7 linked regions of the Macaca fascicularis genome follow. The main gene of each other region encodes a partner of the protein of the gene in region 4 in a complex. Links are inferred from orthologs where the notes say so. Each region holds a gene or a part of one and is shown on either strand. Other genes may lie near its edges. The genes, in order: RBL2, MYBL1, LIN52, TFDP2, E2F2, E2F4 and E2F1.

Region 1 (3,500 bases), on a different chromosome or scaffold from region 4:
GCTCTCATCACTCTAATGAGTGCCTAGGCTTAGCACAAACCCTCTTTCTAGCATCTGAAGCATTTTGGGGTTAGTAAAGGCCAAGATTGATGTTAGGCTCACCTTTGAAGGACTGTTGCTGAAGTAATAGAAAATCTTTTCTCGAGGAGAAAGCATTGTTTCATTTTTATGTGGGGAAATGTAGACAGGATGATTTTGAGACAACTGTATTCGGCGAGGGGAGCCTGTTCTTACAAATGGATAGGGAGAGAGTGGAGGAGCATCCATCTGTTAAAAAAAAAAAAAAAATCAGTAACTCTAAGAAAAGAAATTTATAATGAGGTATTTTTACTGAGAATGATAAGAGTGATATATTAGCACTAATTTAACCTAAAGAAAAACATTCTAATAGCAAACCTTAAGTGCTTAGTTTGTGCCAGTTATTATTTTAAGCAATTTTTATACATTATGTCATTTCATCCTTACAACTCCATATGCTAAGAACTAGTTATATTCCCATGTTTTATATATATGAGGAAACAAGGTACAGAGAAAATTTAATGATTTGCAAGGTTACCACTACTGTTAAGTACTAGACAATTTGAACCCATGTAGCCTGTCTCTTGTACTACTATACTTTGTAGGGACTCCAAATACAATCTTATTCTTGTTTAATGCTTAACAACAGAACTTATGTTGGTTAGGTAAATTACAGACCTCCTCAGTTTTACTTAATAGAATTATTTGTAAAACTAGCTTATTTATGAGACAGAGTCTCGTTCTGTCGCCCAGGCTGGAGTGCAGTGGCGCAATCTCAGCTCACTGCAACCTCTACCTCCCATGTTCAAACAATTCTCCTGCCTTAGCCCCCAGAGTAGCTGGGATTACACATGTGTTCTACCACGCCTGGCTCATTTTTGTATTTTTAGTAGAGACTGGGTTTTATTTACCACGTTGGCCAGGCTGGTCTCGAACTTCTGACCTCAACTGATCTGCCCGCTTCAGCCTCCCAAAGTGCTGGGATTACAGGTGTTAGCCACCACGCTTGGCCAAAACTAGTTTATATATGGACCAGGTGAATGGTCCATATATAAATCATAAATAATTCCTCAATACTCATGAAAAAAGCATGAAATGATCCCTGTAATACTTACTACATTTGCCTGGGAGTACTTCATGGCAAATGTCTTAATCTGTTTGATGTAGATGTTGTTGTAGAACTGAATGAGGTCTCCCCTCTCTTCTTCTTCCATGTCACTGTTGGCACCTGTGAGGCGAGTAGGTGTAGGAGGAGCACTGCTGGGCTGTGGAACTGGCAAGGTGCTGCTTGACCTCATGACTGGACTGGAGTCTCTACTGGCTGCTTCCAGGAGAACACAGGGTGTCAATACAAAAGCTGCTAGTATAGATTGTTTTAATTTTTAAAAAGTAGGAGAAAGGGAACAGCTACCTGCATTACTTGCTAATAACAGTGAATAGGCACTCTGTTCTTCACACCAAAAGGCAAAGCTCAGCTAGGATTTTAACTTGATATCCCTATGCCATAACCATAGCAAGGGCTTTCTGAGTAGTATTAATAAGCTACACCAAGTTTTCTAGGACCTAAGCCCTAGGACAAACCAACAGGTAGGGGATGGTATTTCCATAGCATGGCTCCAACTGACATGTCAGTCCTTTCTGAAACTCAGGCAAGCAGATTCCTCACTGAAAGCTCTAATTCTCCTGGAGAAAAATGTTATAGAATATGTGCCCCAAAGCTATGGAATGGACAGTTTTGCCACCCAGAATTTGATTTACTGATCCATTAAACCCTTTGTTTATACACTTTCATAGTTTCTATAGTTATTTCATTTAGTAATGGTTACTTCAAGTCCTAAAAAGTAAGAAAAGCTCCTAATTTTGTCTTGTAGTTCACAAAGATCCCACTTACTTCTATCTTTGTTTAGTTCTGTTGGAGAATTCTGATGGCTTCTGCTATCACTGCTGCCGGAATTTCGTCTTTTTCTTTTCCCTTTTATCAAAACACTTCTATACACCTTTAGAGAAATAATGAGAAGGGGATGTAAACTAGTATTTGTTGAGCACACCCTTGGTGATAGGACCTTGACATATGTTACTTTTCACAATAATCTGTGTAGCAATAGTTGTCCTCAGAAGAGGCTAAGAAACATAACTCAAATTATAACAGATCTAAGATTCAATCAGAGCCCATCTAGCTTCACATGCCAAGTACTACTTGCAGTACCACGCTGCGGTAACAGCACCCAACCATAAAGTCAAGTCATTCTAAGTCAGATACACAGATCTGCCAATTTGCCTCTCAGAGACGAATCGTAATAAAGGCAAAGTGGGTTTTAAATTTCCATGTGACATTCTCTTGGTTAAACGTACAGTATGTTTACTAAACCAGAATGGTGACATAGAAACCAAGTAACTTCTTAATTCCTATCTATCTTGTGATTTTTCTGAATTGAGAAGGCAATCAAATATTTAACATTGTTGCCTTCTGAGGAAAAGAGAACTTAATCAACATGTGACATCAAGAATAAAGAAGATTAAAGCAGAAATTTCCCTTAAGTAGAGTCCCAGGTGTTTATCTTGGAAAAAAAGGCCACAGAGTCAACTATGGTTAATTTCTTGTATTCATCACAGACTTTAAGCGTTATTTTCAGCCCATAGAGAAAATGTAGTTACCTGGCTCCGGGCCTGTGGCTGAGTCCTATAACAACGCATAATATTCTGGAAGGACTTATCTTCTTTTGTGACCTGGCAAACAATAAGAGTGCTCTGAGAGATACAACAACTTCCACCATAATAGTGTGAGGAGCTGTGTGAACCTGCTGCCCAGTAAAAGGGGTGAAAATTATATAAAAGCTATTTAAAGTCTCTGGAAATGGTATTAAAGGCATATAGCAAATGAAGATACATCGATTCAAGAATATCTATTAAAATTCATTAAGAATAATATGTGAATCAAGACTTAGAGGCCAGTGCGGTGGTTCACACCTGTAATTCCAGCACTTTGGGAGGCCGAGGAGGGTGGCTCACTTGAAGTCAGGAGTTCAGCCTGGCCATCATGGTGAAACCCAGTATCTACTAAAAATTCAAAAATTAGCCAGGCATGGTGGCATGTGCCTGTAATCCCAGCTACTAGGGAGGCTGAGACAGGAGAATCACTTGAACCCGAGAGACGGAGGTTGCAGTGAGCTGAGATTGAGCCACTGTACAGTCTGGGCAACAGAGCAAGACTCATCTCAAAAAAAAAGACTTGGAGTAGAAAATTACAGTAACTGAAATGAAAAATTCACTAGAAGCTAGGGAAAATAGATTTGAAGTAGCAAAAAAACCAAAAAGATTAGCAAACATGAAGAGATGATGTGATCTGAGAACAGAGAAAGAATGAAGAAAAATAAACAGCCTCAGAGAAATGTGGCACAGCATTAAGGAAATCAACATAAGTGTAATGGGAGAATCAGGAGAGGAGAGAAAGAAGCAGAAAAAAATGTTCAAAGAAATACTGA
Region 2 (3,500 bases), on a different chromosome or scaffold from region 4:
AATTGTATTGTGAATATAATTAGTATTTCACAGTTGTAAATTATATAATTTAGAAGATGGACTCGGTGATACCAATTTTGACTTCTTAGAGGTTCTGTGTTCTAGATAGGCAAATTTGCCAGACAGCTGTATTTCTCATCAGCAAAGCGTTATTATATTCTAAATTAAAATACTCTCATAGAAAAAGCCACTTAAGGTCATTTATTAATAAGAGCTAAAAAAACTTTTTTCAGTTACACACTGTTGTACAAAACTGTTAGATTTAACACGGCAACTGTTTATAGTTTCTATGGATCTCTATTTGATAATACACTTTTTACAATTTTTAGTATTTTTTTTGGTAACTTTTGAATATTTGTTAAATGTTTCTTGAATTCCTATATGTGCTAAACACTGTTCTAAGAGCTGGGGAGACAAAAATGAACAAACCAGACAAAAATTCCTACCCTCATGGAGCATAATTTCCATGGAGTATAAGTGTAATATTATTCATAAGCTTTTTAAAAGAGGTATGAAGAAATAATTTGAAAATCTTAGTTTAATATTTGTGTAGGGATTTTGATGTTCTAGAAATCATCTTTAAACTCTCTTCCATTTTTAGTTTTTCAACACATGTCCTGGAAATGAACAACTTAATATAGAAAATCCTTCATTTACATCAACCCCTATTTGTGGGCAGAAAGTTCTTATTACAACTCCTCTTCATAAGGAAACAACTCCCAAAGATCAAAAGGAAAATGTAGGGTAAGTAGGTATTAAATAATTGTGTTAGAGAAAATGGGGAGCACAATATCAACAGTAGATTAGCTTTTTGTGCATATAAATAGCATGTATCATAATCCCTATTCCTACAGGACTTAGAATTTTTTTTTTTTTTTTTTTTTTTTTGAGATGGAATTTCGCTCTCGTTGCCCAGGCTGGAGTGCAATGGTGAGATCTCGGCTCACTGCAACCTCCACCTCCCGGGTTCAAGTGATTCTCCTGCCTCAGGCTCCTGAGTAGCTGGGATTACAGGCATGTGCCACCATACCTGGTTAATATTGTATGTGTAGTAGAGATGGCATTTTACTGTGTCGGCCAGGCTGGTCTTGGACTTCTGACCTCAGGTGATCTGCCCGTCTCAGCCTCCCAAAGTGCTGGGATTACAGGCGTGAGCCACTGGGCTGGGCCAGAATTTTTTTTTTTTAAATCATAGCCTTATGTTTTCTCCTTAGGACAGTCAAAACCAACTTAAATATAGTATCTTTGATTTCAATGAAAACATTTCTAGTACTTTTTTCTGTATTAATTCTTTTTTCTATTTTAAGATGAGTGATTGAAATCAGAATTACCATAGGCAGGCATACTGTAAAATAGTCTTAGAATGTTTAGATGAAGCATATATATATATATGTGTGTGTGTGTGTGTGTGTGTGTGTGTGTGTGAGAAAATTTAGTGTGTGCTTAAATTGCTTTGCTTTCATTAACTCGTATGCAATCAGATTGTGACTATAACATAAATATCTAAATGATTGGATAGTTTCAGAACACCTACTATTAGAAGATCTATATTGGGTACCACACCAAGAACTCCTACTCCTTTTAAGAATGCGCTTGCTGCTCAGGAGAAAAAATATGGACCTCTTAAAATTGTGGTATGTATATTCATTTTATTTTTAATAATTTTCCTAATTTTAAAAAAACACATTGTGATTTTTATCACTTTGATTTTTAACATTTAAAAAAGATGTTTACTGAAACAGATACAAAGCTTTATCTTTTGATTTTCAAGTTTTTTATTATTGTTGTTTTGTTTTGTTTTTGACATGGAGTCTCGCTTTGTTGCCCAGGCTGGAGTGAAGTGGCACGATCTCAGCTCATTGCAGCCTCCACCCCCTGGGTTTAAGTGATCCTCAGGCCTCAGCCTCCTGAGTAGCTGGTATTACAGGTGCCCGCCACCACACCCAGCTAATTTTTGTATTTTTAGTAGAGATGGGGTTTCACCACATTGGCCAGCCTGGTCTTGAACTTCTGACCTCAGGTGATCCACCCCCGCCTCGGCCTCCCAAAGTGTTAGGATTACAGGTGTGAGCCACTGCACCTTGCCTAATTTTTAAGTTTGAATTTTGTGTCCACCTTTTTCTTTAACTTGTAAATCCTTGCTTGGCTTGTTTTGAATTCTTAGCTTTATAGCATCCAGAGAAAACAGATCAGGTGTCAGTGGAACTCTTCTGTTTTTTTTTTTCATTTTTCTTTCTTTTTTTTTTTTTTTTGGAGACACAGTCTTGCTCTGTCACCAGAATGGAGTGCAGTGGCTCAATCTCGGCTCACTGCAACCTCCACCTCCCGGGTTCAGGCAATTCTCCCTCAGCCTCCTGAGTAGCTTGAACTACAGGCTTGCGCCACCACGCCCAGCTAATTTTTGTATTTTTAGTAGAGACTGGGTTGCACCATGTTGGCCAGGATAGTCTTGATCTCTTAACCTCATGATCCGCCCGCCTTGGCCTCCCAAAGTGCTGGGATTACAGGAGTGAGCTGCTGCGGCCGGCTGAAACGCTTTTCTTAATACTGAAATTTACATTTTAGTAGTTTCAGTCATGGTTACATGTATTAGAATAAAATAATTTTAATATACTGAAGCACTTTCATGATAATATTTAGGAAACTAATCAGGGTACCTCTTTAGGAAACTAATTAGGAAAAGGCTCAGTTTCCTTTTCTATGCAAAGGAGATCATAAAACACACCCCAAATTGTTACTGTGAAGCTGAAAGAGTTGATGCAATTAAAAGAGCTTGTCTGAGTTTCAAGTAGTGTGTGCTTGGTTGCTGCTGTTATTCTAATAATAGTATTTGCGGTAGTAGTTCACGAATGAATAGGACTGGGAAGTGTTCTAGTTACTGTGCTTTCATATATCTTACTGCCTTTGAAATACCTTGGAAAAGTGATGGGCATTTTAGGCAGTTACAGATTTCTGACAAGTTCTTTAGAAATACAATTTTTAAAATATTGGTGACTTTCAGGGTTTAGTTATGTTCTTCTATTTTTAGTCACTTTTTGGTTAGATTCGTTAGCAAATTCTAGTTTACTTGATTTAATTAATTTTCTGCCCAAAAGCATGTTACACACACATCTACTAGTCTTTTCTTTCTTTTTCAAAATACTGTGTTAAAGGGTACATAGTAGGGTTGATCGAGTCTTTTTGTCATTTAGCTCCATGTACTGCTGTGAACAATCATGTTTCCTTTAGAGCTTCCTGGAGTTTTTATTTATGCATATACGTAAATAAAACAAGAGTATGACCACACTTTATTATTTTATAACACCATTTTTTAATTTAACCAAGTAAATGTATATATTTATCCCATAATTTTTAATGTTTGCATAATATTCCATTGTGTGGAATTACCTGATTGATTTAGCCTGTCTGTTTCAGTGTTTTGCTGTTTATTTTAAAAATTCATCATTAATTCAGGAAATATTGATTGAGTGCCTAATAGGTTCCAGGCACTGCACTAGGCT
Region 3 (2,365 bases), on a different chromosome or scaffold from region 4:
TCCAGGAGGGACTCAGGGATCCCTTTGCCCGAAGTCAGAACTGGAAGGTGGGGCTGGGAAGTAAGGAATGAAAAGCAAATGGGACTATCATAAGAGGTATAGAAGTTTTAAAAAACAGATGTACATTTCAAGAAGATTCTGGTTTCTCCAGCTGGGGATTCTGGGAACTTAGTATATACTGGAGAGTTCACAGGTCAGGCTGCATGGTCTGGTCCAGAATCTAGTTGGTCTCTGGTCTCCTTGCATCAAAAACACTTCCTAAGAGATCAAGAACAATTCAAAAGAACCCATCCAATCAACATGTCACAACTGACTGCCATGACTGAGTCAAATCAACCGTAAGATCCTGGGGCTCCTGAATCACTTCCAGAAATGAGAAAGCAGGACTTTGACCTTTAAGAATGATATGCCCTCAGCTGTTACCAATATCCGAGGCTAAGAAGGTTCAAGTCTGAAAGCTGACTGAGTAACTGCAATGATCCTTGGGTAGAGCAGATTCTTCTCTTGCTGCTGAATGTCCTCAGACGCGTAGAGTGCCAGGAACAGGGGAGAGGGCAGTCCTGGAGGTACACCCTCTGGTCTCTCCCAAGCAAGCAGTGAGGTGTGCATTGTTAGAGGTGCACCGGGAAGGGAGCTTGGTTTCGAACCCCAGGACATCCTGTCCACAAGCAGCTGCTACTTCTTGGGCTTCTCTAGAATATTGAGGAATTTCCCCCGTGTCATCTCTCTGGCTGGAATCACAAAGCAAACAAATGATCAATGAAAACCTAAAATCTGAAAAAAGAATCATAGAAAGATTTAACTTAAAAATGCAGATTGATTTAAATTATATATCAAGTTGCTATCACAACAGATTTAATCATCACCAACTAACCTCCTAAAAGAGGGTAAAAACAAACCGTTACAGACAACTACAACTCTACAAAGCTATTCTGAAGTTGGCAATTGAGATACACACCAAATGACTGCGAAAGATTGTATCATTCACCTTTAAACAAATCACCAGGGGATTCCCCCAAAACCTCTCTCTGTCTCAAGAATCTAACCTAATACTCATGTTCACTATCTCAGGGGGTTTGCTTTTGGGGCCTAAAATCCAACCAAGATTAGTCTTCTCTGGGTTGCTGGTCTCTGGACATTTATAATCTCAAATCAAAATTAGAGATCATTTACCCTATCTCTCGGCAGTGGTAGTCCCTGGATACTGTAATATAACAGGGTTTATATTCCCTTAGTGCAGTTCATCTGTGGATGGTGTCATAAAGTAGGGTTTATAGAGCTTTGGTCTTCTTTCCCTTGGCATTGTCAGTCCTTAGATATTTAATATAGCCAGCCAAGGTTTATGTGTCTTTCTCCGGCTTTCAGCACCATCAATCTTTGAATGCTGTAGTTACAAGTGGGTTTATATAGCTACTTTCCTACATAGAAGGTTCCAAAATGAAAGTAAAACATTTCTCAGTTACAAGGGCCACTCCAGAGGTCCCCCATTTTAGATCTCAGAAAGCATACGTAGTGTAACAGCCCCTTCCTCATCCTCATCCTAAAAGGCCATGTTTTCAGATTTCTTAAATGGATTTAACAGTGCAGAAAGTTTCTGATGGCTGATGGCTGGCTCTGGGAGCCAGGCCTTCTGGAACCATGCAGTAGGCACAGGGCAGGTTGTGTGGCCTCCCAAGAACACATCTCCATCATGGCCAAAGAAGTGAGGTGGCTAGGGAGGCACCCTCAGGAACGAGAAGGACCTTCACCCAGGCCTCCTTGTTGCCTTTCCCAAGTCCAGAGCAAACAGAGCTAGATGAATGGCCTCCCGCTCCCCTCTGCCCCAACTTAAATTTTCTTGTTTTATTGTACAATGAAGACATAAAACAACACAACCTCTGGGACCACAGGGAGGCTTTTGGTAACTTCAGTCTATACGTTCCCCATCTTTCACTAGTTCCTGTGCTCCAACAGAGGGAAAGGAAATTCCATTAACTAGGCATAGAAGCCCAGTGTTGGGTCTTGCCTCACGTGCCCACAATCCCAACCCAGATCAAATCAAACAGACCGTTCCTTCCTTTGTGGATTTATAGCAAATCCTGTATAAGCAAAGTTCCTATAAGACTTGCATGCAATTCCTTGCTTATATAGTTGTCTTCCTCTACTAAAAGGTACTGAAGGCAGAGACTGTTTAGTGCTTTGGACTTCTCTCCCTCGGCAAAAGATCCAAACAATCAGATCCAAACTCCAGAGCACGTGCCCTCCTGTTCACTTGTCATCAGAGATGTTAACATTTCTGATTAATTCATATAGCCCTTATTTTATTCCTCATTTCTTTATCCTCGCTCTGCTGCAGTGCGAAGATTCTTACCGACCTGCTACAGAC
Region 4 (3,500 bases):
AGGTGGGCGGATCACGAGGTCAGGAGTTCGAGAGCAGCCTGGCCAAGAGACCAGCCTGGCCCATAAAGTGAAACTTTGTCTCTACTAAAAAAAAAAAAAAAAAAAAAAAAAAAAAAATTAGCCAGGCATAGTGGCAGGCACCAGTAATCCCATCTACTTGGGAGGCTGAGGCAGGAGAATTGCTTGAACCTGGGAGGTGGAGGTTGCAGGAGCTGACAAAGATCGTGCCATTGAACTCCAGCCTGGGTGACAGAGCAAAACTCCAACTCAAAACAAAAAAAAAAAAAAGAAAGAAAATTTACAGGAGCCCATTGGTTTGGACTGAGCTCCTGCACTAGGCCCCAACAGACCAAACTAAAATGGAGTCACTCATGCTGAAGTTCCATGCCACCAGGCCAAAACTAAGTTGTTTATCTGACCTAGGAAATCAGGAGAGAAAGACAGAATAGTAAACTACCCAAACAGGCCAGTTGCAGCTGGCATAAGAGAGTCTTCTCTGTTTTACCCTTACAAGGAAAGTGACATTGAAATGTCCAGTCTGCTTTTTCATCTGTTTCTGCCTCTATCTGCCTTTGCTGCTTCTCTATCTTTAAAACACTGAATAATGTTCAACCTCTTCTGCTCAGCTTATAGGAACACTCATTCTACTTACTAGTGAGGTGTTGCCAGATTCTAGAATCACAAATAAAAGACAATTAAGATCTTTAAATTTGTTACAATTTTGTCTTTCGATCATCAAATAAGACATTTTTCTTTTCTGCTTCAGCAGATTATCTCTTACTTGCTCCGCATCCAGTCTAGTTTATACTAGGGAGTTTCCATTCATGATTCCTCTATCCACCACGTTTTACTTTTAAATTACTTAAGATTCACGTAAAATCTGTGTGGCGTTCTACATTGGAAAAGATGTTGTAGGAGCATCCCTTTATCAGAAGCTCTGACAAGCAAGGCCCCTTATCTGTCCCTCATCCAACTAGGTCAAGCCACACCGATTCTACCTCTATAACACCTCTCCAATCTCATGGCCACTGCTGTTAACTCAGACCATCTCTAATCCCCCTCCTCCATTCCATTTCCTTCCCTACCTGTTAATTTTACTTCCAACCCACTGGCAGAGTGATCCTTCAAAAAACATCCTATCAACCCTTCTCTTTGTAATTTATCAACTGCTTCCCTTTGTTTACAGGATCAGGTCCCCACTGCTTAACACTTAGATATCTATCCATCTTTCTAAATGCCTGTTCCCTAGCCACACCCAGCTCCAGGCAAGCTTTCTCACGCCTGTCTCAGCCCATGCAGCGCCTCTGCCTGGAAGGCCCTCCCCACCCGTATCCACTTGGCAAACTACTCCCACCTCATGCCTGAGCTCTGGGATTATCTCCTTGGTAAAGCCCTCCCCCATCCCTCTTTGCAGAGAATCTGTACATTTCTTTCATAGGAGTAATCACATTTTTGGTTAACTCTTTTACATTTCTCTTCTCCCCAGTTAGAATGACAGTTCCTTGGGTTCAGAGATTTGCCTTGTATAACCTGTGATTAAGCACAAGGTAGATGTGAATAGGTTTTTTTGCTTAGTAAGTCTTTAGTATAAGCTCAATATTACTCATGAAAATGATGCTCAAATTCCACTCTATCAGAAGGAAGAAAAACGAGAAAAGGAGGATATTTCCACTGTAGCATATGAAAAATATTATATAGCTTCTGATGAATATCTGGTTTCTCTCTCCATCCATAAGTATAATAATACCAAATAACTGAATTGCTGGGGAGAAAAAAGACTGAGAAAAACAGAAAACCAATCTTAATTATCTCCCAAAGCTATATGTATATACACACACACACACATATATATACATTTTTTTAAAGATGGAGTCTTGCTCTTATCGCCTAGACTGGAGTGCAATGGCATCATCTTGGTTCACTGTAACCTCTGCCTCCCGGGTTCAAAGGATTCTCCTGCCTCAGCCTTCCCAGTGGCTGGGATCACAGGCGTCCGCCACTGGCTAATTTTTGTATTTTTAGTAGAGATGGGGTTTCACCATTTTGGCCAGGCTGCTTGAACTCCTGACCTCAGGTGATCCACCCACCTTGGCCTCCCAAAGTGCTGGGATTATAGGCGTGAGCCACTGCGCCTGGCCCCAAAGCCGTATTTAACCTCAGTTTATTCCATTTATGGTCATGGTAGTAAAATTATGTCATGTCAATTTAGAAACAGTATGTCAGGGAACATGCTCATGTAGAAAGAATTTTCTATAATGCTTAAAGTTAACAGAACTTAAAATGCTTCTGCATACATAATTCCAAAATTCTATTCATTCTGGTAAAGACACAAACGAAACACTATTCATTCTGTTGCTATTATTTCTAAAGTCAAATGCAAAAGTCTGACTTTCACAGCTATATTCAGAATATTGTGTAACCAATAAAGGAAATCAACAGCCAGCTTGATCCTTTTTTTTTTTTTTGGATACATACAGCAAGCATCTTATCAAATAAGATACCATTTCACCAAAAGTTTATTAGTAGAGTGCTCAGAATTAACTTAGAATGAAATAAAAATCTTCTCTAAGAAACAGTAAAATCAAACTGTTATTTAACTTTTATATCCCTCAGTTTCATCATTTACAAATTAAACTGTAGACTATACCTATAAGGCACCTTCCAATTCTAAAATTCTACAGTCTGTTAAAAAATGACATAGTATACATGAAAAATTGGAAATATTTTATATTACAATTACATTTTTAAATTAAAATGCCTCTGATGTAAAATAATACAAAAAGCTATTCATAAACAGATTTTCTCACTTACCTCCAGATTCTGACATTCCTGAGCAGAATTGGTAGGCAGGCCAATCCACTTGATTTCTTTTTTTTCCTTTGAAATTATGTTCATTGCCATTAGCACATTTAAAGCATCATAAACTCTTCGCCTAATGTTTTTCTGATCGTAAGCCTGCTAAAAAACATTTTCATTGAGTGATAATTAAGGGTTAAGATACAGTCACATGATATTAATATGTCAAATTAATATTACGTCTTCAAAGTGCTGGAAGGATTCTATTTTTTTATTTAGCAAACTGACAAAGACATCCAAAAGAATTCTATATTCCGTGAAAATATCCTTCAAAATTAAAGATGAAATAGAAATACTTTCAAACAATATAAAACAAAATAATCTTAAAAATAAAGATCATGTTACCTGCAGATCTACACTGAAATATACTAAAGGGATTTCTTCAGGTAGAAGAAATATCATCTAAGATGGGAGCTTAGAGATGTAGGATAGAATGAAGACCAATCCAAAAGGTAAATATGTGGGTAAATCTCAATTTTCACTGTATAAAACAATAATAATGTCTTATGGAGGCTAGAATAAATACAGAACTTAATTAATATACATGACAATAAATAGTATATATTAACAGAAAAACATATTGGAGGTAAAGTGTTCTAAGCCCTTGCATTATCTGGGAGGATTTTAGACTTAAAAAAATCAAG
Region 5 (3,500 bases), on a different chromosome or scaffold from region 4:
AAGTTTAAAAATTAGATGGGCATGGTGGCATGCACCAGTGGTCCCAGCTACTCAGGAGACTGAAGCGGGAGGATTGCTCAAGCCCAGGAGGTTGAGGCTGCAGTGAGCCGTGATCACCCTACTGCACTCTGCACTCTAGCCTGGGCAAGACCCTGTTTCCAAAAACACAAAAAAAAAAAAAAAAAAAGAAGAGAAAGAAATGAGCTTAGAGTGCTGGAGAATGGCTACTGAAAGGTCAAATAAGATGAGGCCAGATAAATGACCATTGAATTTAGCAGCATGGAGGTCATTGGTTCAGGGACATGGTGGGGAGAGACCCCAGACTGGAGTGAGTTGAAGAGAGAATAGTAATAAGGAAGTAGAGACAAGCTCAGGCTACTCTGGAGAAAGTTTACTGCGCAAAGGAGCAGAAAAATGGGCCAGTAATTGGAGAGGGTGACGAGGTAAGGTATAGTTGTGTGTCGTGGGGAGTAGAGTCAACATAACAAAAATTTACCATCGTAACTATTTTTAAATGTACAGTTCAGTGGTAATTAATACATTCATAATGTTGTGTAACTATCACCACCATTCATGTCCATAACTCCTTCCACCTTGTAAAACTAAACTCTGTACCTATTCCCCATTCCCCTGTCTCCCCAGCCCCTGACCACCACCACCCTTCTACTCTCTGTCCCTGCGCTTTTGACTAAGTATTTCATATAAGTGGAATCACACAGTATTTGTTTTTTTGTGATTGGCTTATTTCACGTAGCTTAATGTCCTCAGGGTTCATCTATATTGTAGCATATATCAGAATTTCTTTCCTTTTTGGCCGGGCGCGGTGGCTCAGGCCTGTAATCCCAACACTTTGGGAGGCCAAGGGAGCCGGATCACTTGAGGTCAGGAGTTTGAGACCAGCCTGGTCAACATGGTGAAACCCCGTCTCTACTAAAAATACACAGATTAGCTGGGTGTGGTGGTGTGTGCCTATAGTCCAGCTACTCAGAGGCTGAGGTGGGAGAGTCGCTTGAACCTGGGAGGTGGAGGTTGCAGTGAGCCGAGATCACAACACTGCACTCTAGCCTGGGTGATAGAGTGACACCCGGTCTCAGAAAAATAAAAAGTACATGAAAAGGGGTAGGGTTGGGTGTAGACTCTGGAAGGTGGATTTTGAGAGCAGGGCGTTGCACCCAGGCTGAGGAGAGAGGAGAAGGGTGCAGTCGTCCAGAGAACCGGAAGTCTGTCCTCGTGTGCTGAGGGCTTGGATGCCAGGGCCAGGCGTAACCTTTGTCTGTTTGTCTCCAGTGCCAGCGCCAGCGCCAACCCCCCAGCAGGCCCCACTGCCTCCATCCCTGGTCCCCTTGGAGGCTACTGACAGCATGCTGGAGCTGCCGCACCCACTCCTGCAGCAGACTGAGGACCAGTTCCTGTCCCCGACCCTGGCGTGCAGCTCCCCTCTGATCAGCTTCTCCCCGTCCTTGGACCAGGATGACTACCTGTGGGGCTTGGAGGCGGGTGAGGGCATCAGCGACCTCTTCGACTCCTACGACCTCGGGGACCTGTTGATTAATTGAGTGGCCCCGCCTGCCCCCAGCAGCCTGCCCCCGACTCTACCTCCTCACAAACAGGCTGACAGGCCCTCTGCCTGCACAGGGACATTGGACACTAGGTGCTGCCCTCAGGGAATGGGGTCTCCTCGCCTTTCCCACCCCAGCCGGCAGAAGCTGTGTGGGGAGATGTGAATGGTACGGGTGAGGAGGGGATAAGGGTGTGGGTCCTCACCTTCCTAATGGAAGCTGGGCCTGGGGAGGCCCATCCAGTCTTCTGACCTCTGACCTCTCACGAGAAGGCTGCAGGTGAGGTGGCCAAGTCCAGGGAAAGGCCCTGCTACCTCCTTTTGAGGGGTAATTAGGACCCTCGACGTACAAGAAGCACTTAATGCCTTTGTATTTATTTCAGGTTGAGTGGTTTGTTTGTGCTCCCTGAGTTTTAGCAGGGAGGTTGTTCTAGTTTTTAGTGAGGCCTCCGCAGACAGGCCCATCAGGGCCCATCGCTGTCCATGTTCCAGGGCAGGTCTGGGTTTCCAAGGGAGGGACCCAGGCCACGTCCCTGGTTTCCCCATAGTGGTGGGGCTGGGTCTCTGAGGGGCTGTCCAGTCGGCCGGAATGCTAATTGCACTTAGGCCTCACAATTCTAGTAAACGGCAGCTGTGGGCCCTTTCGCCTCTCCCCTGTTCTTGGCCTCACATCTCCAGCTGAGCCGCCAGTCTTGGCTTCCTGGTCACCTCTGTCCCAGACATGGTTCCAGGGAGCCATCCTAAGGCAGGTAGCACTGTGGCTCCTGTGGAAACAGGAGCCACCTGCTCAGGAGACCCCTTTCCTGAGGAAGTCCTTACCTCTCCCTCCCTTTGAGATGTAAAAATGGTCCAGCAGAGACAAGCTCCCAAGGAAAACAGACAGGAACATGGGGGCAGCTCTCATGGCTGTGGCGGGCACCTTTCCTCAGAGTTTCTGCCTTGCTGTGGTCCAGGAGCCATTTTGCACCAAGGACTTGGTAGGCAGAGGCAGCCCCACTGTAAAGAAGGGTCAGATTAGGCCGGGCGCGGTGGCTCAAGCCTGTAATCCCAGCACTTTGGGAGGCTGAGGCGGGTGGATCACGAGGTCAGGAGATCGAGACCATCCTGGCTAACATGGTGAAACCCCGTCTCTACTAAAAAAATACAAAAAACTAGCCGGGCGTGGTGGCGGGCGCCTGTAGTCCCAGCTACTCGGAGGCTGAGGCGGGAGAATGGCGAACCTGGGAGGTGGAGCTTGCAGTGAGCCAAGGTCGGGCCACTGCACTCTAGCCTGGGCCACACAGTGAGACTCCGTCTCCAAAAAAAAAAGAAAAAAAAAGAAGGGTCAGATTAAAACAAAAAACTGCCCAAAGCATCCCTTCTGCCCCCCGATGTGGCGCTGGCATCATTCTCTGCTTCCCTGGGAGGAAGTTTTTCACCATGTTATTGAAGGGGATGGTTCCTTAAGGACCGCTCCACCCCTCAGAGCTCACTCAGACCCCCAAGGACAGAGGTGACTGGGGCTTGGTGACTTGTTCACCCCTTTTTTCCCAGGTATACTGAGGGGTGACAGAGAGAGGACTTCATGGCAGACCAGGCCTTCGCAGCTAATGGGGAGAGGAACTCATGTTACCTCTTCAGGCCTGGGGTCCTAAGGGGGTCTTTTGGCTTCAGCCTGTTCCCCCAGAGGCTTGATCATCCCACATTATCCCTGCAGCCCAGCTGCTCTTGTCCTCCACTCACCCTGGGATGTGGGTGCTCTGGGCTGAACCAAGGCCGTGCCTTCTGGAGAGAGGCGCAGGGGTTGGTCTGAGAGGCCTGCCACCCACCCCTCAGGGAGCTAGGTTTTCTCAGAGGCTTGGCTGGACAGCACTTTTTTAAAAAGTCTGTAGCATTAAGCTGGTTTAAAATATGAAGTTGGTTTTGTTGGATGGCTCCTGAACTAACTGACTGATGTCTGAAG
Region 6 (4,144 bases), on a different chromosome or scaffold from region 4:
CACCACCCAAATCCACCCTTCAGGACAGAAGTGCTCATTCTCCAGCTGCCAGGAGTGTAGGCTGCTGAGATCAATATTGGGGTGCAAAAGCATGGTACCATCACGTGAACATAAACTCTTCAGAAGTGCTACCCCAATTTCAGAGATCCTAGTGGCATAGGCTGAGGCCTATAATATAATTGCATCTGCCCAATTCTGCTTGTCTTACTCCCTTAAAGGTGTGGATCCTGACCAGGTGTGATGGCTCACGCTGTCATCCCAGCATTGTGGGAGGCTGAGGTCTGAGGATCGCTTGAGCCCATGAGTTCGAGACTAGCCTGGACAATATAGTGAGACTCTCATCTCTACAAAAACTAAAAATAAATGAGCCGGGCATGGTGTGTGCATGCCTGTGGTCCCAGCTACTTGGGAGGCTGAGGTGGGAGAATCGCTTGGGCCCAGGAAGCTGAGATGGCATTGATCTTGCCACTGCACTCCAGCCTGGGCAACAGAGTGAGATCCTGTCTCAAAAAAAAAAAAAAAAAAAAGAAGTGTGGATCCCCAACAAACTTGCTGCAAAACCCTGTCTCGAGTCCCATTTCCCATAGAACCTGACCTAAAAGAAACAATAATAAATAGTAACAATGTTACAAGTAACAAAATGACCCTAGCAAACTTTCCTACATGCCAGAAATGACTCTGAGTGCTTTACTGATATATACACATAGGTAAATACGTTTGCATTGCCTGAAGTGTATATAACCCCATAGTCTCTGAGCACTGTAGCGGGAGGACAAGATGAGCGAAAGATGAGGCTAGGACCATGGATGGAGAGAGGTGGACAAGGTAGATATAGTTAGTGCTTGCTGTTTGGCAGGAAGTGAGGGACAGGAATAGATGGGGTGACCCCAAGACAGTAGGGGAACCTTTAGGAACATTTTTGATGTGGCAGTAAAATGAGTTTGAAATATAAAAGAATAAATAAAGAGAAAAAAATTTAAAAGGAACTGATTTGAGGGAACAGATTGGATTAGTCAGGTAGTGTGGTCTTGTCTCCCGAGATGGGGACTGGGCAGAGTTAGTGATGTTGGGGCAGATTGGCAAGGAAAGTTCCGATGGCATCCCTTTCTCTACTGCCAGGGCTGCCCACTGACGCCCTCCTCATTCCTCCCTAACTTCATCCCAACTCCCGGTCTACCCAGGTAGTTTTCGTCTTATTCGGCGGCTGGACATTTGCTAATGGTCCCTGAAGTTTTGCGGTTGCACCCACAGACAGCAATAGCGCCGCGTTCCCTGGAAGACGCACGGGGCGGAAGCGGAAGCAGCAACGCTGGCTCCGGCTGCCGGACGGCCAGGAACGGAAGCGGAAGTGGCGGCGGCGCCGGCCTGGCCTGGCCTGGCTGAGGGGAGGCGGCGGGCGGACGCGATGGCGGAGGCCGGGCCGCAGGCGCCGCCGCCCCCGGGCACTCCAAGCCGGCACGAAAAGAGCCTGGGACTACTCACCACCAAGTTCGTGTCTCTTCTGCAGGAGGCCAAGGACGGCGTGCTTGACCTCAAGCTGGTGCGGCCCGGGCTAAGGGGCGACAAGGGAGGATGGTGGACCAGGCCTGGGCCGGTAGCGGGAACCCCGGGGGCGGCCCAGCTGGGTCCTCCGAGAGCCGGCCGCCATCGTGTGCTTTCTCACAGGAGAGAAGCCGGGGAATGTTTCATTCATTCGGCCGAGGCCATTGAGCTACAGCTATGGGCCAGGCTCGGGGCTCCAGGTGTTCGTCCTCGTGGCCCTTCCTGGCTGGCGAGGAGAAGAGCTGCCTATGGGACAGAGCTGCGGGCCTGAGCTGCAGTAGCGCCTGGCAGGCACTACAGGGTTGGAATCCAGGTTACTCCCTTCCCAGACCACGTCTCAGGGTGGCTGGGGGTACACCCGAGAGTGGGGCTGAGCATTCTCCACTCTGTCTGCCAGGCAGCTGACACCCTAGCTGTACGCCAGAAGCGGCGGATTTACGACATTACCAATGTTTTGGAAGGTATCGGGCTGATCGAGAAAAAGTCCAAGAACAGCATCCAGTGGAAGTGAGTGGGGATAGTGGGAGGGTAGTAGAGTCTCCCACCCAGAAGTGTCGGGGGTGGGGTGGAGGGTGCCAAAGAAGGCAGGGGCCGTGGGACCCAGAGTTCTCAGCAGTCCCTCTCAGCCCCACTCCCTGGGCTCAGGGGTGTGGGGCCTGGCTGCAATACCCGGGAGATTGCCGACAAGCTGATTGAGCTCAAGGCAGAGATCGAGGAGCTGCAGCAGCGGGAGCAAGAACTAGACCAGCACAAGGTGTGGGTGCAGCAGAGCATCCGGAACGTCACAGAGGACGTGCAGAACAGCTGATATCCTCCTGGCGTTCCCTCCTGGGGGGAGTGGGCAAGGGGCCCTCTGGTTCAACTTGCCCTGGGCAAGCTCCCTGTTCCTCTTGGGAGCTTGTCCTGTGGCCCCTGGCCATGGCCCAGCCTCAGGCTCCCTCCTCAGAGCCTCTCCCCTTCCAGTCTTAGCCTGTGATCCCTCCCCCAGTGGACCTGAGTCCCCAGAACTTTCTCTGAGGGGCCTCTGTGTCAGACCTTGGCTAAAGAATTGGGTCTTTTTTGTAGTCTGCCATCTGTCACCATAGGGCATCGGCCATTCTCCTTAACCCTCACACTTTGGCCTACGTCACTCATGAGGACATCTGCAGATGCTTTGCTGGTGAGCAGAGCCTGGGTAGGGGTGAGGGGGTGGGCTGGGCTCAACCAAATCCCTGAGCACTGGGCTCAGTGTCTCAGGAGAGTTCCGTCTCTTAAGAGGGTTTCTGGGGCCTGCTCAGAGAGGAACCAGGCAGGGTAAGTCTTCTGTCTGAGTGTCACTGGGACCCTGTGGAGGTCAGCTATACCAAGAGGGTACAGGAATTCTGGAGTGGGTTCCTGGGTCTGTTCCCAACTGTACTGTTTCCTGGATTTGGCTTCTTGAGTATGATAGAGGTACAAGGGGGAGAAAGGGAGAGAGGATATGTGTGTATTTGCTTGTGTTCAGGCTCTTACATGCAGGGCATGGGGGTGCCCACTTCCAACTTGTTAGTTTAATTGCATTGTGAATGCAGGATATGTTCCTTTTTTTTCTTTCCTTTTTTTTTTTTTTTAAAAAGAGACAGGGTCTTGCTATGTTGCCAGGCTGGTCTTGAACTCCTGAGCTCAAGCTGTCTTCCCCGCTCAACCCCCTAAAGTGCTGGGATTATAAGTGTGAGCCACTGTGCCCCGCTGATGTGTTTCTTCTCCATCATGTATCCTCCTGACTGGTCATGGGAAAGGGATGTTGGCCTTGGCTAGAATACCTTCACCTAGGGAACAGCCATCGGTGGAAGAGTGAGGTGCCTGTGGCCAGTGATATTTGACTCCACATACTTGAACCCAGATTTCCTGGTTACTGACTCTGGGCTCTCAGGAAGAGAAGAGCTTTAGCTCTGCCCAGCCACTATGGGGAATGGGTGAGGTCCACTGTCTAGTCCCTCAGAGACCATGATCTCCTGCCTTGCTCCAAAAGACAGGCACCTCTGTTCCCAGCTCAGATTGAGCCCATGGGCTCTGACCCATTCTCCATGTCATTCTAGGAGATACCCTCTTGGCCATCCGGGCCCCATCAGGCACCAGCCTGGAGGTGCCCATCCCAGAGGTGGGTGCTTAGCCCAGGCAGGCGGGGTCAGCTGAGGGCGGGTGCTGGCTGTGGAGACTGATAAGTCCCGGGTGGGGCAGGTAGGGGAGGCCTGGAGTTTGGGGTTATCTAGGAGGATGGGCATCCTGGGTGGGAGAGGACACTGGTCCTGACAGAGTCGGGCAGGAGCCAAGCCTGCTTCCAATTCTACCCATCTCCCATCCCTTACCACCCATCTCTAGGGTCTCAATGGGCAGAAGAAGTACCAGATTCACCTGAAGAGTGTGAGTGGTCCCATTGAGGTTCTGCTGGTGAACAAGGAGGCATGGAGCTCACCCCCTGTGGCTGTGCCTGTGCCACCACCTGAAGATCTGCTCCAGAACCCACCTGCTGTTTCCACGCCTCCACCTCTGCCGAAGCCTGCCCTAGCCCAGTCCCAATCCCAGGAAGCCTCACGTCCAAATAGTCCTCAGCTCACTCCCACTCCTGTCCCCGGCAGCGCAG
Region 7 (4,211 bases), on a different chromosome or scaffold from region 4:
AATTAGCAAGTGACCACGTGGTTCTGAAGCCAGTGGCCTAAGGACCACCCTTGCAGAACCATAGTCTCCTTGTCACAGTCTAAGCAGCCTCTGGCTTAGCGTCTGTTTCTTTCATAACCTTTCTCAGCGCCTGCTCTCGGTCAGACCAGTGATGGGAGGAGTCGCTACTGAGCTCCTAGATTGGTAGGGGAGGCAGATGGAGAAAAGGAGTGTGTGGTCAGCATTGGAACAGAGGCAGCAGTGGGCAATAGAGGAAGCGAGTAAATCCTTGGGAGGGCTCCCCAGAAGTGATGTGTTTTGTTTTTGCGACAGGATCTCGCTCTGTCACCCAAGCTGGAGTGCAGTAGCATGATCATAGCTCACTGCAGACTCGACTTCTCGGGCTCAAGCAATCCTCCCAGCTCAGCCTCCCAAGTAGCTGGGACTACAGGCACGCGCCACCATGCCTGGCTAATTTTTGTATTTTTTGTAGAGACGGGTTTTCACCATGTTGCTCAGGCTGGTCTCAAACTCCTGGACTCAAGCGATCCACCCCGCCCTCTGATTACAGGGATTCCAGGCGTGAACCACCGCGCCCAGACGACGCTTCATGTTATTGTAAACGTTTGTTACCTTTCTGTTCCCGTCTACTAGACTGTGAGCTCCTCAGGGCCACGAGTTAAGGATGGGGCAGATTTAAGGATGAGGCACAGAGCAGGCTCTTCAAACGTTTGTTGAATGAGTGAGGGAATGAATGAGTTCAGGCCGACGCTTTACGTTGGCTGTTGGAGATTTTGGCTAAAATGGGACTTGCAGGAAAGCTTGACGTCCCCCCGCCATTTCTAGCCACCGCTCTTCAGCTTGGGCTCTGGGTGAGCGGGATAGGGCCGGGTGCAGGATTAGGATAATGTCATGGGTGAGGCAAGTTGAGGATGGAAGAGGTGGCTGATGGCTGGGCTGTGGAACTGATGATCCCGAAAAAAAAAGGGGGCAGTCTCTGGAAATCTAAGCTGAGGCTGTGGAAGGCTACAGGTTGAGGGTCACGTGCAGAACAGAGGCTCTGTTCTGAACCTGCACTATAGAAAGGGCAGTGGGATGCGGGAGCATCGGGGCGGGGCAGGGCGGGGCGGGGCAGGGCGGGGCCCGTGTTCCCGTGTCCCCACGCCTCCAACAGGGGACGCCCGGGCTGGGGGCGGGGAGTCAGACCGCGCCTGGCACCATCCGGACAAAGCCTGCGCGCGCCCCGCCCCGTCATTGGCCGTACCGCCCCGCGCCGCCGCCCCATCCCGCCCCTCGCCGCCGGGTCCGGCGCGCTAAAGCCAATAGGAGCCGCCGCCGTCGTTCTCGTCACGGCCCGGGCAGCCAATTGTGGCGGCGCTCGGCGGCTCGTGGCTCTTTCGCGGCAAAAAGGATTTGGCGCGTAAAAGTGGCCGGGACTTTGCAGGCAGCGGCGGCCGGGGGCGGAGCGGGATCGAGCCCTCGCCGGGGCCTGCCGCCATGGGCCCGCGCCGCCGCCGCCGCCTGTCACCTGGGCCGCGCGGGCCGTGAGCGTCATGGCCTTGGCCGGGGCCCCTGCGGGCGGCCCATGCGCGCCGGCGCTGGAGGCCCTGCTCGGGGCCGGCGCGCTGCGGCTGCTCGACTCCTCGCAGATCGTCATCATCTCTGCCGCGCAGGACGCCAGCGCCCCGCCGGCTCCCACCGGCCCCGCGGCGCCAGCCGCCGGCCCCTGCGACCCTGACCTGCTGCTCTTCGCCACACCGCAGGCGCCCCGGCCCACACCCAGTGCGCCGCGCCCCGCGCTCGGCCGCCCGCCGGTACGGACCCCAGGGACGACGCGCCGACAGCGCCTCCTGTGCCCCCCGCGCAGACCCGGGAGGGCGCCGTGTTTGGCCTGGAGGCGGCAGGGGGCGGGGGAGGGGTTGACTGAGGCGCCCAGGCTGGGCGGTGCAGAGCCGGGGTTGGGCCTGCGGGCCCCGCCCTGGGGTGCGGGGTGACCTCGGGCCGGTCCCTGTTTGCTCCTCTGTGCTCTGGGCCTCAGCTTCCTCACTGGAGGCTCCCCAGCGTCAGACTCAGTGATAATAATAACCCACGTGTATTCAACTGGCGTTTACTGCATGCCAGGCCTTCGGCCGACTTCAAGTCAGCTAAAACTCACAACCCCGCTGTGAGCTGTGTTGTCACTGTGCCCATCTGACGGAGGAAGAACTGAGGCCCAGAGAGGGGAAGTGACTTGCCCCTGGTCATACGGCTGCAGGTGGTGGGGCTGGGATTTGAACTGAGGCCTGCTGGCTTCAGCTCAGAATTTGCATCTCGGTAGTGAGCACAGCTGCTAGGGGAAGTGAAGGCGGGGCGGAGGAAGGTCCTGGGGCCTAACCGTTGGTGAGCCATTGAGGAGACCCTCCTTCTGCCTCGATGCTGACTGCCAGGTGCAGGCCTGGCTGGCCAGGCCTCTGGGGACAGCCCTCCTGGCTGGGAGGCCTTCTCTGCAGGGGCGGGGCAGCTGGACCAGCTGCAGGTCCCCTCCCTCTGCCTGTCCTTCCATCTGCCACCCTCCACCCTCCCAGGCCCTGGTTGCCATGGAACCTCATTAATCAGGCAGGCCGACCCCTGAGTCTCTGTAGAAGGACTAGGTGGGCTGGGCCTCTGGGAGCTGGAGAGGCCCCCAGTGCCAGGAGAGAAAATGTCCCAGGGAGATCCTTTAATAAAGTCCTCCCTGATCGCTGAGCTCAAGACCAGTTCAGACTGGGGGGCCCAGAAGAGGCGGCTGAATTACAGTGGGAGAAGGGATTGGAGGTGTAGAGCTGGGACCTGTGGGGCGCAGGGCAGGGTGTGGAGACCAGTTTGACTGGCGCAGCCTATGGGTGAAGGTGGGGCTCTGGTGTGCAGGCGGGGCCTGGCCAGGCAGGATGGGGTCTCAGCAGGGAGCTTGAAGCAAGTGGGAGGGGTGAGGCAGGACTCAGGACAAGGAGGTAGAAGCTGCCTAACTGCTGATGGGGGTGTGGGTGGCAGCTGGTCCCTGAGGCATCCTGAGGAGGCTCCCCCAACCCCCTTGGCCCCATGCCCAATGCTGCCTTCCGGAATCACCACAATGCTAATAATAATAACAATAGCAGCCACCATTGTTTTGAGGATGTCTTGTGTGCCAGGCTCTGTGCCAAGCACTTTACCTAATTAACTCATTTAACCCTATCAGCAGCAGTCCCTTTTTACAGATTGGGAAGCTGAGGCCTAGAGATGTTAGAATCTTCCCATGTCATTCTGCTCTTGAGTGGGGAGACCAGTCTGCATTTTCTGTGAGGTTGACCTCTGGGACGCCTTGCTTCCTAGAGATGCTGATAAAGGTTGGAGAAAGGGCAGGAAGGGCTTTTAGGGGCCCTTCCTCTTAATGAGTGGGTGGGAGGGGTTTGTACCAGGGGTGGACCAGGTGGCCTGTCTCCTGTACTCCAGGGACCTGTCCCTGTGGGTACCGCTTGGGACCTGGGCAAGCATCTTCCATTCAGTTGTGTGACAAGCATATAGCAGGCTCAGGTCTGCAGAAACCTAACAGAACCCGAGGGTCTTGTCCTCAAGTAACTGAACAGGATTATGGGTTCTAGGATCAAAGGGAGGGACAGGGGCAAAGAAAAATGCCCTCCGCGCCACCTGTCAGGGGCAGGCTCATTGGCTTGGGCACTGCATTCATTCAACGGTTGTTGAATTAGTGAATGCCCAGGAGGCACTAGGCACAGAGACAAGGAGCCCCGGCTCCCAGAATACGTAAGGGCCAGGAGGCTAGCACCATTCTGGAGCTGAAGTCCAGAAAGTCCACAGGTTCGGCTTTTGGCCTCTCTGCACTGGCATTTGTCTGGGGCAGTCCTTGAAATAAGCTACAGGCTTAGCTTCTATACCAGCAGGCATTCGTTGAACACCTGTATATAACGCTCTGTGCGATTTGGCCATTCCTCTTGGCCCTGCCTGTCCACTTCCACAAACTCAAGTATTATAACTATAATACGTGTTTACTATGGAAAACTTAACTTTTTTTTTTTTTTTTTTCCGGAGACAGGGTCTCATTCTGTTACCTAGGCTGGAGTGAAGTGGCGTGATTGTGGCTCACTGCAACCTCCGCCTCCCAGGTTCAAGCTATTCTGTGCCTCAGCCTCCCAAGTAGCTGGGATTACAGGCGTGTACCACCACGCCCAGCTAATTTTTGTATTTTTAGTAGAGATAGGGTCTTGCCATGTTGCCCAGGC

What was found.
Region 1: TFDP2 (region 4) and RBL2 share a complex: the UniProt entries of both Homo sapiens proteins name them as parts of the DREAM complex. The link is inferred for Macaca fascicularis from reciprocal best matches to the Homo sapiens genes TFDP2 and RBL2.
Region 2: TFDP2 (region 4) and MYBL1 share a complex: the UniProt entries of both Homo sapiens proteins name them as parts of the DREAM complex. The link is inferred for Macaca fascicularis from reciprocal best matches to the Homo sapiens genes TFDP2 and MYBL1.
Region 3: TFDP2 (region 4) and LIN52 share a complex: the UniProt entries of both Homo sapiens proteins name them as parts of the DREAM complex. The link is inferred for Macaca fascicularis from reciprocal best matches to the Homo sapiens genes TFDP2 and LIN52.
Region 5: TFDP2 (region 4) and E2F2 share a complex: the UniProt entries of both Homo sapiens proteins name them as parts of the DRTF1/E2F transcription factor complex. The link is inferred for Macaca fascicularis from reciprocal best matches to the Homo sapiens genes TFDP2 and E2F2.
Region 6: TFDP2 (region 4) and E2F4 share a complex: the UniProt entries of both Homo sapiens proteins name them as parts of the DRTF1/E2F transcription factor complex. The link is inferred for Macaca fascicularis from reciprocal best matches to the Homo sapiens genes TFDP2 and E2F4.
Region 7: TFDP2 (region 4) and E2F1 share a complex: the UniProt entries of both Homo sapiens proteins name them as parts of the DRTF1/E2F transcription factor complex. The link is inferred for Macaca fascicularis from reciprocal best matches to the Homo sapiens genes TFDP2 and E2F1.

Annotation. Positions count from the first base shown.
Region 1 is NC_088394.1:49,468,637-49,472,136, reverse strand, and holds part of RBL2 (retinoblastoma-like protein 2), read right to left. Parts: intron 2,746-3,500; coding exon 2,674-2,745; intron 2,016-2,673; coding exon 1,910-2,015; intron 1,343-1,909; coding exon 1,134-1,342; intron 268-1,133; coding exon 103-267; intron 1-102. UniProt on the Homo sapiens protein: Key regulator of entry into cell division. Directly involved in heterochromatin formation by maintaining overall chromatin structure and, in particular, that of constitutive heterochromatin by stabilizing histone methylation.
Region 2 is NC_088382.1:76,568,944-76,572,443, reverse strand, and holds part of MYBL1 (myb-related protein A), read left to right. Parts: intron 1-601; coding exon 602-744; intron 745-1,519; coding exon 1,520-1,634; intron 1,635-3,500. UniProt on the Homo sapiens protein: Transcription factor that specifically recognizes the sequence 5'-YAAC[GT]G-3'.
Region 3 is NC_088381.1:142,138,976-142,141,340, reverse strand, and holds part of LIN52 (protein lin-52 homolog), read right to left. Parts: intron 732-2,365; coding exon 521-731; 3' UTR 1-520.
Region 4 is NC_088376.1:44,787,825-44,791,324, forward strand, and holds part of TFDP2 (transcription factor Dp-2), read right to left. Parts: intron 2,959-3,500; coding exon 2,812-2,958; intron 1-2,811. UniProt on the Homo sapiens protein: Can stimulate E2F-dependent transcription.
Region 5 is NC_088375.1:211,610,218-211,613,717, forward strand, and holds part of E2F2 (transcription factor E2F2), read left to right. Parts: intron 1-1,287; coding exon 1,288-1,556; 3' UTR 1,557-3,500. UniProt on the Homo sapiens protein: Transcription activator that binds DNA cooperatively with DP proteins through the E2 recognition site, 5'-TTTC[CG]CGC-3' found in the promoter region of a number of genes whose products are involved in cell cycle regulation or in DNA replication.
Region 6 is NC_088394.1:63,212,453-63,216,596, forward strand, and holds the start of E2F4 (transcription factor E2F4), read left to right. Parts: upstream 1-1,344; 5' UTR 1,345-1,405; coding exon 1,406-1,540; intron 1,541-1,939; coding exon 1,940-2,049; intron 2,050-2,187; coding exon 2,188-2,349; intron 2,350-2,657; coding exon 2,658-2,701; intron 2,702-3,599; coding exon 3,600-3,661; intron 3,662-3,882; coding exon 3,883-4,144. UniProt on the Homo sapiens protein: Transcription activator that binds DNA cooperatively with DP proteins through the E2 recognition site, 5'-TTTC[CG]CGC-3' found in the promoter region of a number of genes whose products are involved in cell cycle regulation or in DNA replication.
Region 7 is NC_088384.1:89,710,102-89,714,312, reverse strand, and holds the start of E2F1 (transcription factor E2F1), read left to right. Parts: upstream 1-1,411; 5' UTR 1,412-1,532; coding exon 1,533-1,793; intron 1,794-4,211. UniProt on the Homo sapiens protein: Transcription activator that binds DNA cooperatively with DP proteins through the E2 recognition site, 5'-TTTC[CG]CGC-3' found in the promoter region of a number of genes whose products are involved in cell cycle regulation or in DNA replication.